Yarrowia lipolytica: one gene and its partner. The protein of the gene in region 2 binds, or shares a complex with, the protein of the main gene of each other region. Links are inferred from orthologs where the notes say so. Each region holds a gene or a part of one and is shown on either strand. Other genes may lie near its edges.

The links. Proteins that work in one complex are often made in the same cells at the same time.
Region 1: the proteins of YALI1_F16117g (region 2) and YALI1_A10529g are in contact, whole or in part, in a cryo-EM structure (PDB 6HD5), measured with the Saccharomyces cerevisiae proteins. The link is inferred for Yarrowia lipolytica from reciprocal best matches to the Saccharomyces cerevisiae genes NAT1 and NAT5. Residues at the interface, in NP_010244.1 of Saccharomyces cerevisiae: Pro376, Thr377, Gln378, Pro380, Ile381, Ile384, Asp412, His413, Thr414, Pro415, Thr416, Tyr421, Gln446, Leu447, Asp448, Leu449, Gln450; in NP_014896.3 of Saccharomyces cerevisiae: Asn14, Asn15, Leu16, Gly17, Met18, Lys21, Val25, Tyr66, Ser67, Ile69, Pro70, Leu99, Asn101, Tyr102, Lys105.

What each region holds. Positions count from the first base shown.
Region 1 is NC_090770.1:1,050,034-1,055,220, reverse strand, and holds YALI1_A10529g (uncharacterized protein), read left to right. Parts: upstream 1-2,306; coding exon 2,307-2,786; downstream 2,787-5,187. Other genes in the region: YALI1_A10565g (uncharacterized protein), read left to right, coding at 1-568; YALI1_A10510g (uncharacterized protein), read right to left, coding at 3,165-4,244. UniProt on the Saccharomyces cerevisiae protein: N-alpha-acetyltransferase that acetylates the N-terminus of proteins that retain their initiating methionine. Has a broad substrate specificity: able to acetylate the initiator methionine of most peptides.
Region 2 is NC_090775.1:1,607,925-1,614,347, reverse strand, and holds YALI1_F16117g (uncharacterized protein), read left to right. Parts: upstream 1-2,572; coding exon 2,573-4,999; downstream 5,000-6,423. Other genes in the region: YALI1_F16069g (uncharacterized protein), read right to left, coding at 5,609-6,423. UniProt on the Saccharomyces cerevisiae protein: Non-catalytic component of the NatA N-terminal acetyltransferase, which catalyzes acetylation of proteins beginning with Met-Ser, Met-Gly and Met-Ala.

The sequences.
Region 1 (5,187 bases), on a different chromosome or scaffold from region 2:
GGAGGCTGTTGGAGCCGGCTTCCTCCAAACCCCCATGATCTCCATGATCCACGCCGTGGTGCCCCATCATAACGTGGTCACAGCCACCGCCATTTACCAGTCCATCATGACCGTGGGCTCCATTGTGGCTGAGGCCATTGCCGGTACCCTCTACCGACAGTCTTACCCCAAGCAGCTGGCCAAGCACGCGCCCTTCCTGTCCCCTCGAGAGGCCCACCAGGTGGTCAACAACCTCATGGCCCCCATCAAGCTGTACCCTTGGGGCACTCCCGAGCGAGAGGCCATTGTCACCGCCTTCAACGACATTTACCGAAAGCTTCTCTACCCTCCCATCATCATTGCTGGCTTCATTTTTGTCGCCGCCTTCACTCTGCCCAACGTCTACCTTGGTGACACCGACGAGCCCACTCAGTCTGACTCCGAGGTCGACTCTTCCTCCATTGACGAGAAGATCCACCCCCATGACGAAGAGGCTCAGTACGAGCAGCATCACGATATGGAGGCCTCTACTTCTCCCGAAAACATTCCTCAGATCTCCGAGGGCATGGAGGAGGAGAAGAAGATGTAGAAAGCCCACCATCCCCACTTTCCTTCACATAGCTGGCTATGCTTTCCCGATTCTAAAAACGCTTTAATGATGTAAATAACTAATTGATGATATGATGACTTATAACTCACTTGCTTGTACACTTGTAGGAGACGACGATATGAGAAATGCGAAAGGACAACCGCCGAATCTCACATCCAAGCCATTTCTTTGTCTAATATAATTCTGCACAACTCGTTTAATTGCCTCATTAAGCGCCCTTGTCTGGAGACTGGTGACGTCGCAAAGCCGTGTAATTTACACCATGCAACTCCGAACGGCGTATTTGCTCACGAAAAAAAAGAAAAAAAGAAAACATTTGGATTTAGTTTTCACAACTTATATATGCAAAAAATGCAAATCAAATCCAAATAATGGTGAGCACGTGTCGGAGGTGGATCTGTGAAGACATGGGTCTCTGTCTATAGGAGCACTGATGTGTTGATGCGCGGGTTTAGAGCTGCATGAGCTGTATGAGAACTGGATGAGAACTGGATGAGAACTGGATGAACACTTCTTTGTAGTTATCTACTATGCCATAGTATACTCAATGAACACTTGATGATATAAAGAATCATGCGAAAACTGTTCATGTTCGAAACATTGTGCCGAGCTAAACAAAATGATGTAGCCTGACATGGATAGACATCTCAAGAGACGACGAACGCGGGTTCAACTTTGGGGAGTTTGACTTTGGGGAGTTCAGTTGAGTAGATATCGCTTGGTGATATAGGTGAACAAGTACAGTACAGTATGTACATTACTACTAAAAGTGTAGATGATACTTCTATACATTCAATTGTCAAGAATGCAGGCAGATAATCGGCCAACAGGACAGTATATAAGGTACACCAGTGTCATTCCGTACAAATACACGTATTAGAACATCATTTTATATCACAAGTGTACTCATTACCCCAGTGACCATTCTAGCTGACAAGATATTGGAGGTCACATAAGCAAACCCGAACCCCTCAGTCTCGAAAGATCCCCAGCTCTTCAGCCACGCCAGTACTGATGAGGCGTTCCACGCACGCTGACAATCGGGGCCGCGCTAGGAAAATTTCTCCTCATGTCCGGTTTGACTTGTTATAGACGTTAAGAGGGATGTCTGTCGTTGCCTCTCTATCGGAGTTGGAGTGCGCGTAGACATACCAGAAAAGGTCGAGTGAGTAATCGCATGTCACCATGCCAATACCATAGGCGTACACTGAGTATTACGTCGTACAAGTAGTTGGATAACACTTAGTAGACACATAATTGAAATGACAATATATAGTTTTTTATTTTTATTTTTATTTTTATTTTTATTTTTATTTTATTAATCCCAAGTAAAGTTACAGACAATACAGGATAGAGGGGGATTACACCTCGTGGTACAGACCATATAGTACAGTACATACAGTATCTCACATCTCGAGACACCTCCTGCCAACCATTAATCTCTTTTCATCAACACTTTCATCTTTTCTCCTTTTCTTGTCCTTTTTTCCCTGTTTTCCTTTTTTCCCTGTTTTCCTTTTTTCCCTGTTTTCCTTTTTTCCTTTCCCTTTCCCCTCGCCCCTTTCGCCAGCTGGAATCGAACTGCAGAGCTCTAACCTGCCGGATATATTTCAGGTCTGGAGCACACCAGTGGTGCATCCCGAAAGCTTATTTTTGTCACAGGAGATATTGCAGACGAGAAATCCACTGAACCGCCGTAATCACCGATCCACCCACAATGAGCAAAGTCCAGCTAGACGACCTCACTCCCAACAACTTGGGCATGCTCAAACGCATCAACTCGGTCGTCCTGCCCACGTCGTACACCGACTCCTTCTACACCGAGGCCCTGACGGTGGGCCAGCTGGCCAAACTTGCCTACTACAACGAGATCCCCGTTGGAGCGATCCGATGCTGCCTCGAGGTGGCCCCCGAACACACCAAGCCGTCGCGAATCTACATCATGACCATCGCCGTGCTGTCACCTTACCGGGAAAACGGCATTGGAGGCATGCTGCTGGATCACATTGAGCGGTACGCGGCCGAGACCTTTGTTCCGGAATTGAGCGTCCATGCTCTGACCGACGACACGGAGGTGATTGAGTGGTACAAGAAGCGAGGCTTTGAGATTGTCGACGAGGTCAAGGGTTACTACAAGCGCCTGACCCCGGCCAAGGATGCCTATCTCATGGTCAAGAAGCTGAAGAAGGACCAGTAGGGAGACAAGAGAGTAAATAGACGATGGAGGATGCATTTGGTTACTGTATTACAAGAAGGTACGATGTAGTACATAATGTTAGGGACTGAACTGCGCAGACGAGTAGCAACAAGTGGATCAATGGGTCAAGAAGGTAGAATGGGCCACTAAAGATTCACAACGCCTTTTGTACAAGACGGACATTGTGTTTGGTATAGATCAATGTGTATTGTAGCTCAATAAAGTGTGTCCCTGGGTCTTGCTCTCCAAAAGACCCCCTGATCCCAGGTGATCTAGATCTATTTGCATCCACGTTCATGTTACAATGTAAATGTTAACTGGCTGTACTAGTATACCACAATCATAAACACATTCAATCATCTACTCATACATGCTATGCTAGTTTGCCATGGACACCTCAGGAACCTCAGAGACCATCTCCGAGACCAACTCTTTCACCTCTGAAGGAACCACTGCATCGCCCTCCTCCTCCTCAGCCTCTTCTTTCTCGTTTTCATTCTCCTCCTTCACCTCCTCAACAAGCTCGACAGCCTCGGTAGGAACCAGGTTTCCGTTCCACTCTCCACAATTAGGACACTTGTATCTGATCTCAGCAGCAGTCTTGCCAAATGGAGCGAGACCATTGTGATTGTGGCACTTGCTACAAATCAGTGCCTGTCTGTTCTGAGCGGCGCTCTCGTCTTCTCCAACAAGCAGGTCCAGCACTCGATCAAACCATTGGCGCTGGTAGGGGCCGGTAGAAACTGGCGCTACAGAAACGCCGGCCTTGTCCAGCGACTGCTTCGCTGCCAGAACCTCCTTCTCCGAAACAGGCACGGGTTTGGGGATGGCTGGAACAGCAGCAGGTACATTGGGTCCTGGCCCAGGGGCAGGCACGACAGGCACGGCAGGAACGTTAGCTGTGGGGGGAAGGTTTCGAGGCACGTTTGCTGTGGGAGGAGGAACGCCTTGTCGTCTGTTAGTAGGTGCATTCTGTTTGTTTGCTTGCTGCTGGGCGGGTTTCTTGACCTCCTTCTTCTTGGGCTCGTATCGATCGACAATGGCCTTGGTGGAGTAGAATCCTGTCTTCTGTTTGAGCTCCTCCAGCTTGCCCTCTTGTTGTTGTCGCAGATACTTGATTCTGTCTTCGTCGAAAGACACAAAACGACCCAAGACAGCCTGGATCACATATCGCACAATGTAGATTGCGGGAGGACCCAAAAGCACACCCAGTGTGAGTCTGTTACCGGAGAGCAGCTGGTCACGGCTCAACTGGTTCTTGGCGACCACAATGCCCACGTAGACAATGTAGACGACCAGCGAGTAAAGAGTGAACAGACCCTTGGTGCGTCGGAGTCGCAAACGTCGCGATAAAAGCCGTTTTTCTGTCTCCGCAAGTTTGGTCTGGAGAACCTGTAGCTCCTTTTCGTAATTGGCCGACGGGTCGGACCGCTTAAAGAGCCCGAGGAATGACGACATGGATGATGGTGATGATGGTGACTTGGCTTGTTAAGTTGGTGTGCAATGTGCACATGGCAATGCATGTGGGAGGTTGTTAGAGCTTATTATCAGGAGTACGCGATGTAGGGAAAGAGATGAGACATTATATATAGTTGATTGCGGGTGAGAAATTCGTGGGAAACAGAGCCGGGGGTTACAATCAGGGTGTAAGATCTTGGAGAGTTGCAAGCTGACAGTTGATGATGATGTAAGTATAGTATAGTACGAATACTGCACGGACATTACAAGTACAGTATGTACAGTACAGTAGTACAGTACTGTAACCGTATGATAAGGAGAAGCAAGAAGGTCGTAGAACAGGAATAATACATCTTTTTCTACTGGTACCATGTGATAAATGTCGTCTTCAACAAAGTCGTCTTCGGTTGTTGAAATATGAATATACGATGCAGTGCTACATGAACTCATTTTCATCATTAGTGCTCTCTAGGGAAGAATAAGCACGCGATGTTGACATAGCCGTATGTACGATGGACGTCGTCTCGAGCACACATTTGAAGGAGAAGGATTGAAGTATAGGCTTGAAGAATAGGCTTGAAGTGTTAATCAGACTGCTTAATACAATGTTGAGATGCGTTGGCAATGTCAATCGATTAATCAGGCCTGTTTTTAGACAGTTAGGACGCACCGAATCTCCTTCACACGCTTTCAAAACATCATTCGATATCCCTGGAGCTTTTATCTGAACATATTGTCTATACAGTGGAACAATACCCATATCGACACTCTGGGGCATGGAAACATACGCCTTCACATCGCTGGACTACATGACCCTGTCCGGAATGAGGAGACAAGCGATAATGGCAATAATTCGAGATAGAAACCCATCCAAAGACCCAAGTATAATCAACAAGAAACAATTGTAATGGTTTCAGTGGTAGCGTAATCAACATTCTTCTCT
Region 2 (6,423 bases):
TGAATTTGACTGAATTTGACTGAATTTGACTGGAATTTGAAGCTTGATCATTTTTTTTTTGTTAAAAATCGTCGTAGATTTCCTCTACAAACCAAACATTCACACCTTCTGCTTCATTGTCGGCTAATAAAATTGAACAATGCAGTAGAGTGGCAGTGCTTGCGTGGGAGCTGTAGGGGGATCGAGATCGAGAGAGCGGCGGCTAATTGTGACGGAAGACGAAATGATTTTATTCATATTAGCCGATACAAACTCCAATGCTGCGTCGATTCTGTGCATCTATTTCCATTTTGGACCCAATGCCGTGTCTTGATAGAGAGAGCTGGATAGAGGTTTTCAGGGCGACTAATGGGAGTGGTAAATGGATGAAAAATGGAGTAAAAGTGAGTGAAAAACAGTAAAAACATGCGAATCAAGTCCTCCGCTCTTGTATATCGAATATACGGCCATTTGTGGTGGATCTTTGCTCTTCTCATCCTGACTGGACATCTCTAACTGAATCACCATCCCCGAACTGATGTCTGATACAATACTACCGATATATGATCAATGCAGTTCAATTTGCGAACTCTCTGTGTAATTCTTTTGTTTTTTTAGCCGCCATAAAAATGTCTGCTTTTTCCTGTGCTTTTTCTGTGCTTTTTCTGTGCTTTTTCTGTGCTTTTCTGTGGACTGTGGCAGTCTAGAGCAACCAGAACAAGACCCGGTGGTAGTCAGTCGTTCAATGTTACCTCTTCTGGTACTTGATGGGCATTTCTGTGTCCTCGCGAGCAGGTCGCAAGTCTTAGAGTAAAAAAAAGAAAAAAAAGGGATTTTTTTATTTTTTTTAGTTGACGACAAAATTGGTTGACAAATTTGACCCTCATCGAAAAAGAAAAGAGCCGCTGCACAAGGACTAATATGTCATCATACAGATGCGCATAATGAAGCTCGCAGCAACCAATTAATCTCGCTTGGGCAATCTGTTTCAGTTCGAAAATCACCCTATCCCTCCTGCGATTAACTTTTTGGGAAAAGTTTCAAAATTAGCCGAGAGTCAACATCGATTGCTATAACACCTGGGAGAGGATCAATGGACCGGAGATGTTTGTAAGATTGAATATATTAGTGCGGAGAATAGATTGGAACTTTCGCCGACGTTTTTCGACCCAATTTGGCCGTCAAATTTCAACTTTGTATGCACCCCGCAGAGAGCAAACCAAAAAATCCAAAAAAAATCCAACAAAATCCAACAAAAAAAAACAATACTCGTGGAGAGGCCAGAGAGCTTGATTTTAGTTCCGCATCGACAATGAGCATCATTGTCGTCTCCTTGGTGATACGAGTACGAGCACAAAGGCGGTCATTGTTGATCTCTGAACCAATACAAAGAGCAGACACAAAGAGCAACGAGAAGTCGAACAAAAAACCATCGAAACTACCGAATTGAACAAAAAAACTATTGAAAAGTCATAAACATTGAGAGTACTACATTTTAGTTCTTTTAGTCAACTCTTGTTTGTCAAACTGGCAATTGGAATGGTTTCGGTTACTATAACGAATACACACAGGTGGTACTAGTCAGCTAGGAGTCGTCTAAGAGAGGCTCAATTGGGCTTATGAGACGGCCGAGACTTGAATATTTGTTTCCTAAGAGGGGTTTGGTTACTAGGAATCGGATTACTAACAGTTTAACACAAGTCTCGGTGACTTCGTCTCTCGTCTCAATGGTCTGAAGTACTTGGTTCCGATGATTATCAATGACCATGGATGAATATTGGTGACTAAGAAAAGACTTGATAAGCCTCCAACAGATTTACTTGATGGAAATGAACAGGTATTTACACTGAAGACATTGGTTGGGTTGGTTTGCCGATGGTACTGGTAGAAGATAGCTTACAGTGTTCGGTAGAGTCTCTCAGTGATTCAACGAGCTGCTAAGTCTTTCCAAGAGTTGATTATCGCCTTCTCCGGGGCTTAATTACGTTCCTGGTGTTCAAAATAAATTCTGTTGGTCATCTTCTAATGATTTTTCTTTTAATCTGAATTATTTTGAATTAGTGCTGAGTTTTTGAAAAAGCAGTTAAAATTAATTGGAGAAGTCGTAGAAACATGGTAGAGGAAATCGGAAAATTGAAAAATGTTCAGAATCGTCTCAATAATGACCTTATATTCTGAAAACCTGTCCAAACCAGCCAAACCCCTCTTTATCCCCCGTCACGTGCTCTCCGGACTACTCTACATACACTCATCTTATTTTTCGGAGTAGTTGAACCAGGGAACAGGGTGTCTCCAGAATGGGATTCGGAAACCGTAGAGAAAATCTGACACCGGATTTGGATTCCCCAGGTTCGAAATACCTCCCACACACATTTTGACCCCAAACGGACCCTAGCAACAGTCCCCACGATCTGTCCATTATCCCTTCGCTTCTTAAAATAAAATAAAAATAAAAATAAAAATAAAAGTAAAAATAAAATCCAACCTCCAAATTAAAGTTTTCCACGCATATTTCCAAATCACCAGAACACAAAACCACTCTGACACAAACCCACTCTGGCTGTTTGTGTAACATACGACTACGGCTCCAACAATGACTGCGCGAGCGCCCCCTGCCAACCGCAAGCTCAGCAACATGCTGATGGCGGACTTCAAGCAGTGTCTGACTCTGTACGAAAAAAAGGAGTACGCCGAAGCCATCAAACGGGCGGATCACATTCTGACTCAGAAGCCGGATCATGGCGAGACTCTGGCGGTCAAGGGTCTGTGTCGGTACCATCAGGACTCGCCCGTGGAGGGCCGATCGCTGATCAACGCCGGAATGAAGAACGACCCCGAGTCCTACATCATCTGGCACGTGCTGGCTCTTCTGGAGCGGTCGGAAAAAAACTACCACGCGGCCCTCAAGGCGTACCAAAAGTCGCTGACCATCGACCCGTCCAACCAGAACGTGCTGCGGGACCTGTCGTTGATGCAGATCCAGACCCGTGAGTACGAGCCGCTGGTGATCACCCGACGGAAACAACTGACCGACAAGCCGGAGATCCGGGCCAATTGGACCGGGCTGGCGGTCGCGCTGTTTCTCAAGGGCGACTACGCCACCGCCGCACGAACCCTCGCGGCATACGAGGAAAGCGCCCCCGAAAAGGAACCCAAGGACAAGACCCAGTCGGACGACATTGAAAACTGCGAGCTGGCGCTGTTCCGAAACAAGTGCCTGATCGAGGCCAAGGAATACGACTTGGCGCTCAAGGATCTCGAGGAGCTGGAAAATAAAACCTCCAAGCGCCATATCCCCGACCAGCAGTCCATTCTCGAACATCGATGCGACATTTACATCCGACAGGGCAAAACCAAGGACGCCCAGAGACTCACCCGAGTGCTGCTGCGACGAAACCCCCATGACCGGGCTCTCTACCGACAGCTGGAGAAGGTGCTCGGCATCCAGGACAACAACCAGCTCAAGTCTGTCATGTACAAGAAGCTGGCTCAAAAATACCCCCGGTCCGACTGTCCTCGATCCATGCCTCTGGAGTTCCTCGAGGGCCAGGCGTTCGACGAGGCTGCCGACGCCTACGTGTCCACCCTCATCCATCGACGGGTCCCCTCGGCCTTCATGAACGTCAAGCACCTGTACAAGAACCCCGCCAAGGCTCTTTCTATCGGCGCCATTGCCCAACGGATCTTTGATGGCGCCACTGAAGATCTTTCTGGCGCCTCGGATTTTCTGTGGTCCGCCTGCTTTCTGGCCCAGCACTTTTCCAAGCTCGGCGACCAGAACAAGGCCCTCAAGTTCATTGACAATGCCATTGAGCACACCCCAACCCTGGTGGAGTTGCATCTGACCCGAGCCAAAATTCTCAAGCGAATGGGCGCGGTCAACAAGGGTGCTGAGGCCGCCAATGCCGCCCGGGAACTCGATCTCCAGGACCGTTATCTCAACACCAAGGCCGCCAAGTACACTTTGCGGGCCAACAACGCGGACGACATTGAGCAGGCCATCAAGCTCATCTCCATGTTCACGCGAAATGACACCTCCGGTACCGGCGTTCAGGACCTGCACGATATGCAGGGCTACTGGTTCCTGTCCGAGCTGGCCCGACGACAGCGACGAAACGGAGACGGCCCCTTGGCTCTCAAGCGACACAAGGCCGCGCTCAACGTGTTCAGCGAGTTTGAACACGAGCAGCTGGACTTCCATCTGTACGCGCTTCGAAAGGGAACCATGAACGCGTACATTGACATGCTGCAGTGGGAGGACAAGCTGTACAAGAGTAAGAAGTTTATCCGGTCCACCCGGGGTATCATTGAGACTTACATTGCGCTGTGGGATACCAAGCCCGACTGTGGCTGTGGAGCAGTGATTCCGGGCTCTTTCCCTCTTAAGGCGGTCGACTACAACGCCTCCACCACGGTCAAGAAGAAGAAGAAGAAGAAGACCAACGAGGGTTCTGCCGAGGCCAAACAGAACCCTAACGGTCTGCCTACCCCCGAACATCGACACGATGCCGATCCCGAGGGTCTCAAGCTCGTCAAGAACGTCGATCTGCTGGAAACTGCCCTTGTTCATGCGAAAAAGCTCGCCGAGGTCGGCGACAGCCTCGGGCTTGTGTTCCAGGCCGAGATTTATCTGCGACAGAACAAGTACATGCTTGCTCTTCAGTCGCTCAACAAGCTCAAGGCCTCCGACGCCGCATCTCCCTACGCCTCTGTGCTGGCCAAGGTCGCCGAGGCCCAGCTTAATGGCGATGATAGCACCGCCCAGAACCTCAAGGATATGACTCTCAAGATGCTTCCCAAGCTGTTCAACGAGACAGAGTCCGATGCCGTGGCCACCGCTCGACTGGCCTTTTCCGTGCCCTCTTACAAGGAGCTAGCTGGAGAATTGCTCAAGGGTCTGGTCTCGGAGAATGCCACCGCTGCCGCTCTAGCAGTTTGGGCTGCCAATTCGCTTGGTCTGGAGCTGGAGGATCTGGCCAAGGAGCAGTATCCCGAGCTGGAGGTTCCTCTTCCCAACTAGGAAAGCGAGGTCCCGACGAGGCGAGGCGTTGTGGACAAGTGGTGCGCGAGAAAGTGTCTCGTGTGTTAATTTTGTTAGATTGTACAAGAAATAGATGATGTTTTTGCAGGAGGAGGTAGAAGAGGTGGGAGTGAGAGAAAGACGAACTAAGTAATTCATATTCATGTCACGTGAGTCATTGGGAGACGTCGGTTTGTTGTCACGTGATAACACGGAATCGAATTGACGTCACGTGTCCAATATCATTTCCTTCAGTCCCATCTGCAGGAGAGAGAGAGAGAGAGAGAGAGAGAGAGAGAGAGAGAGAGAGAGAGAGAGAGAGAGAAACGTTCACAGTAGAGGAGTAAGCGTCAGGGTGACGTCACGTGTTTATTTACAAATTTAGATTGATGTCACGTGACTAATTATTGGTTTCCACGTGACCCAGCTGGTCCGTTCGACAAATTTTAAGCCCAAAGCAGATCTTGACTAAGTACAGTATGTACGTCGGATTGGTGTCATGTGACGCAACAACTCATTTTGAAGTCACGTTACCAATTACAACCCCGATTCTTTTTATCACGTGACCAATCAGCCTCCATATCCAATACCATTTTCTCTATATACAATCTAGTTCTTTGGATGGCCCTTCTTTGCGATTCTGATACTCTCGTCTTCGTAGCCGGGAATCTGAATGTAGCTGATTCCGGCCTTTTCCAGCTTTGCCAACGAGGTGTTATCTTTGATGAAGTCGTCGGGTTCCAGAACGCCAACAAACACGGTCTTGATGCTCGAGTTGAGGATTCGGTCGACGCAGGGCAGGTTTCCGGAGAGTCGTTCGGAGCAGGGCTCCATGGTGGTGTAGATGACGGTGTTTTCCGGTACGTCTGACACGTTGTTTTTAGCAAAATACTTTTCCAGAGCGCATTGTTCCGCGTGGGTGTTCCCGGGCAGTTCTCTGGAGAATCCTGTTTCCAGCACTTGTCCGTCCTTGACTAGAACGGCTCCCACGCAGAAGGCGGAGGGGGTTCCTTCGGACTTGTCTGCCTCGGCCACCGCCAAGTCCATGAACTTTTTGTGGGGTTGCGACGCCCATTCTGGCAGTTTGGTGGAGTAGGACCACTTGGGGGCGTTGGGGTTGTCTTCATCTGGTTTGGAGGAGTAGGTGAAGGCATGAAGCCATAGAGACAGATCGTTGGGGCCCGGGTCGGTGTATAGGGGCGTTTTGCACGTTTCACAGGAGCCCGAAAGCACTTCTCCCAGGGGTTTGTTGGGGTCTGCTGGAAAGAACCACGATTCGGCGGTTTTGGTCTTGCCCACGTCGTCGATCATTTTCATCATCACGTCGTAGTTTTCAAGCCCACCTTTGCCCAGGGATTCGCCCCACATTGTCGGCGACGAGTAGAGCGGGTCGTTGGCGATGGGGTGGCCCAGAAACTGCAGAT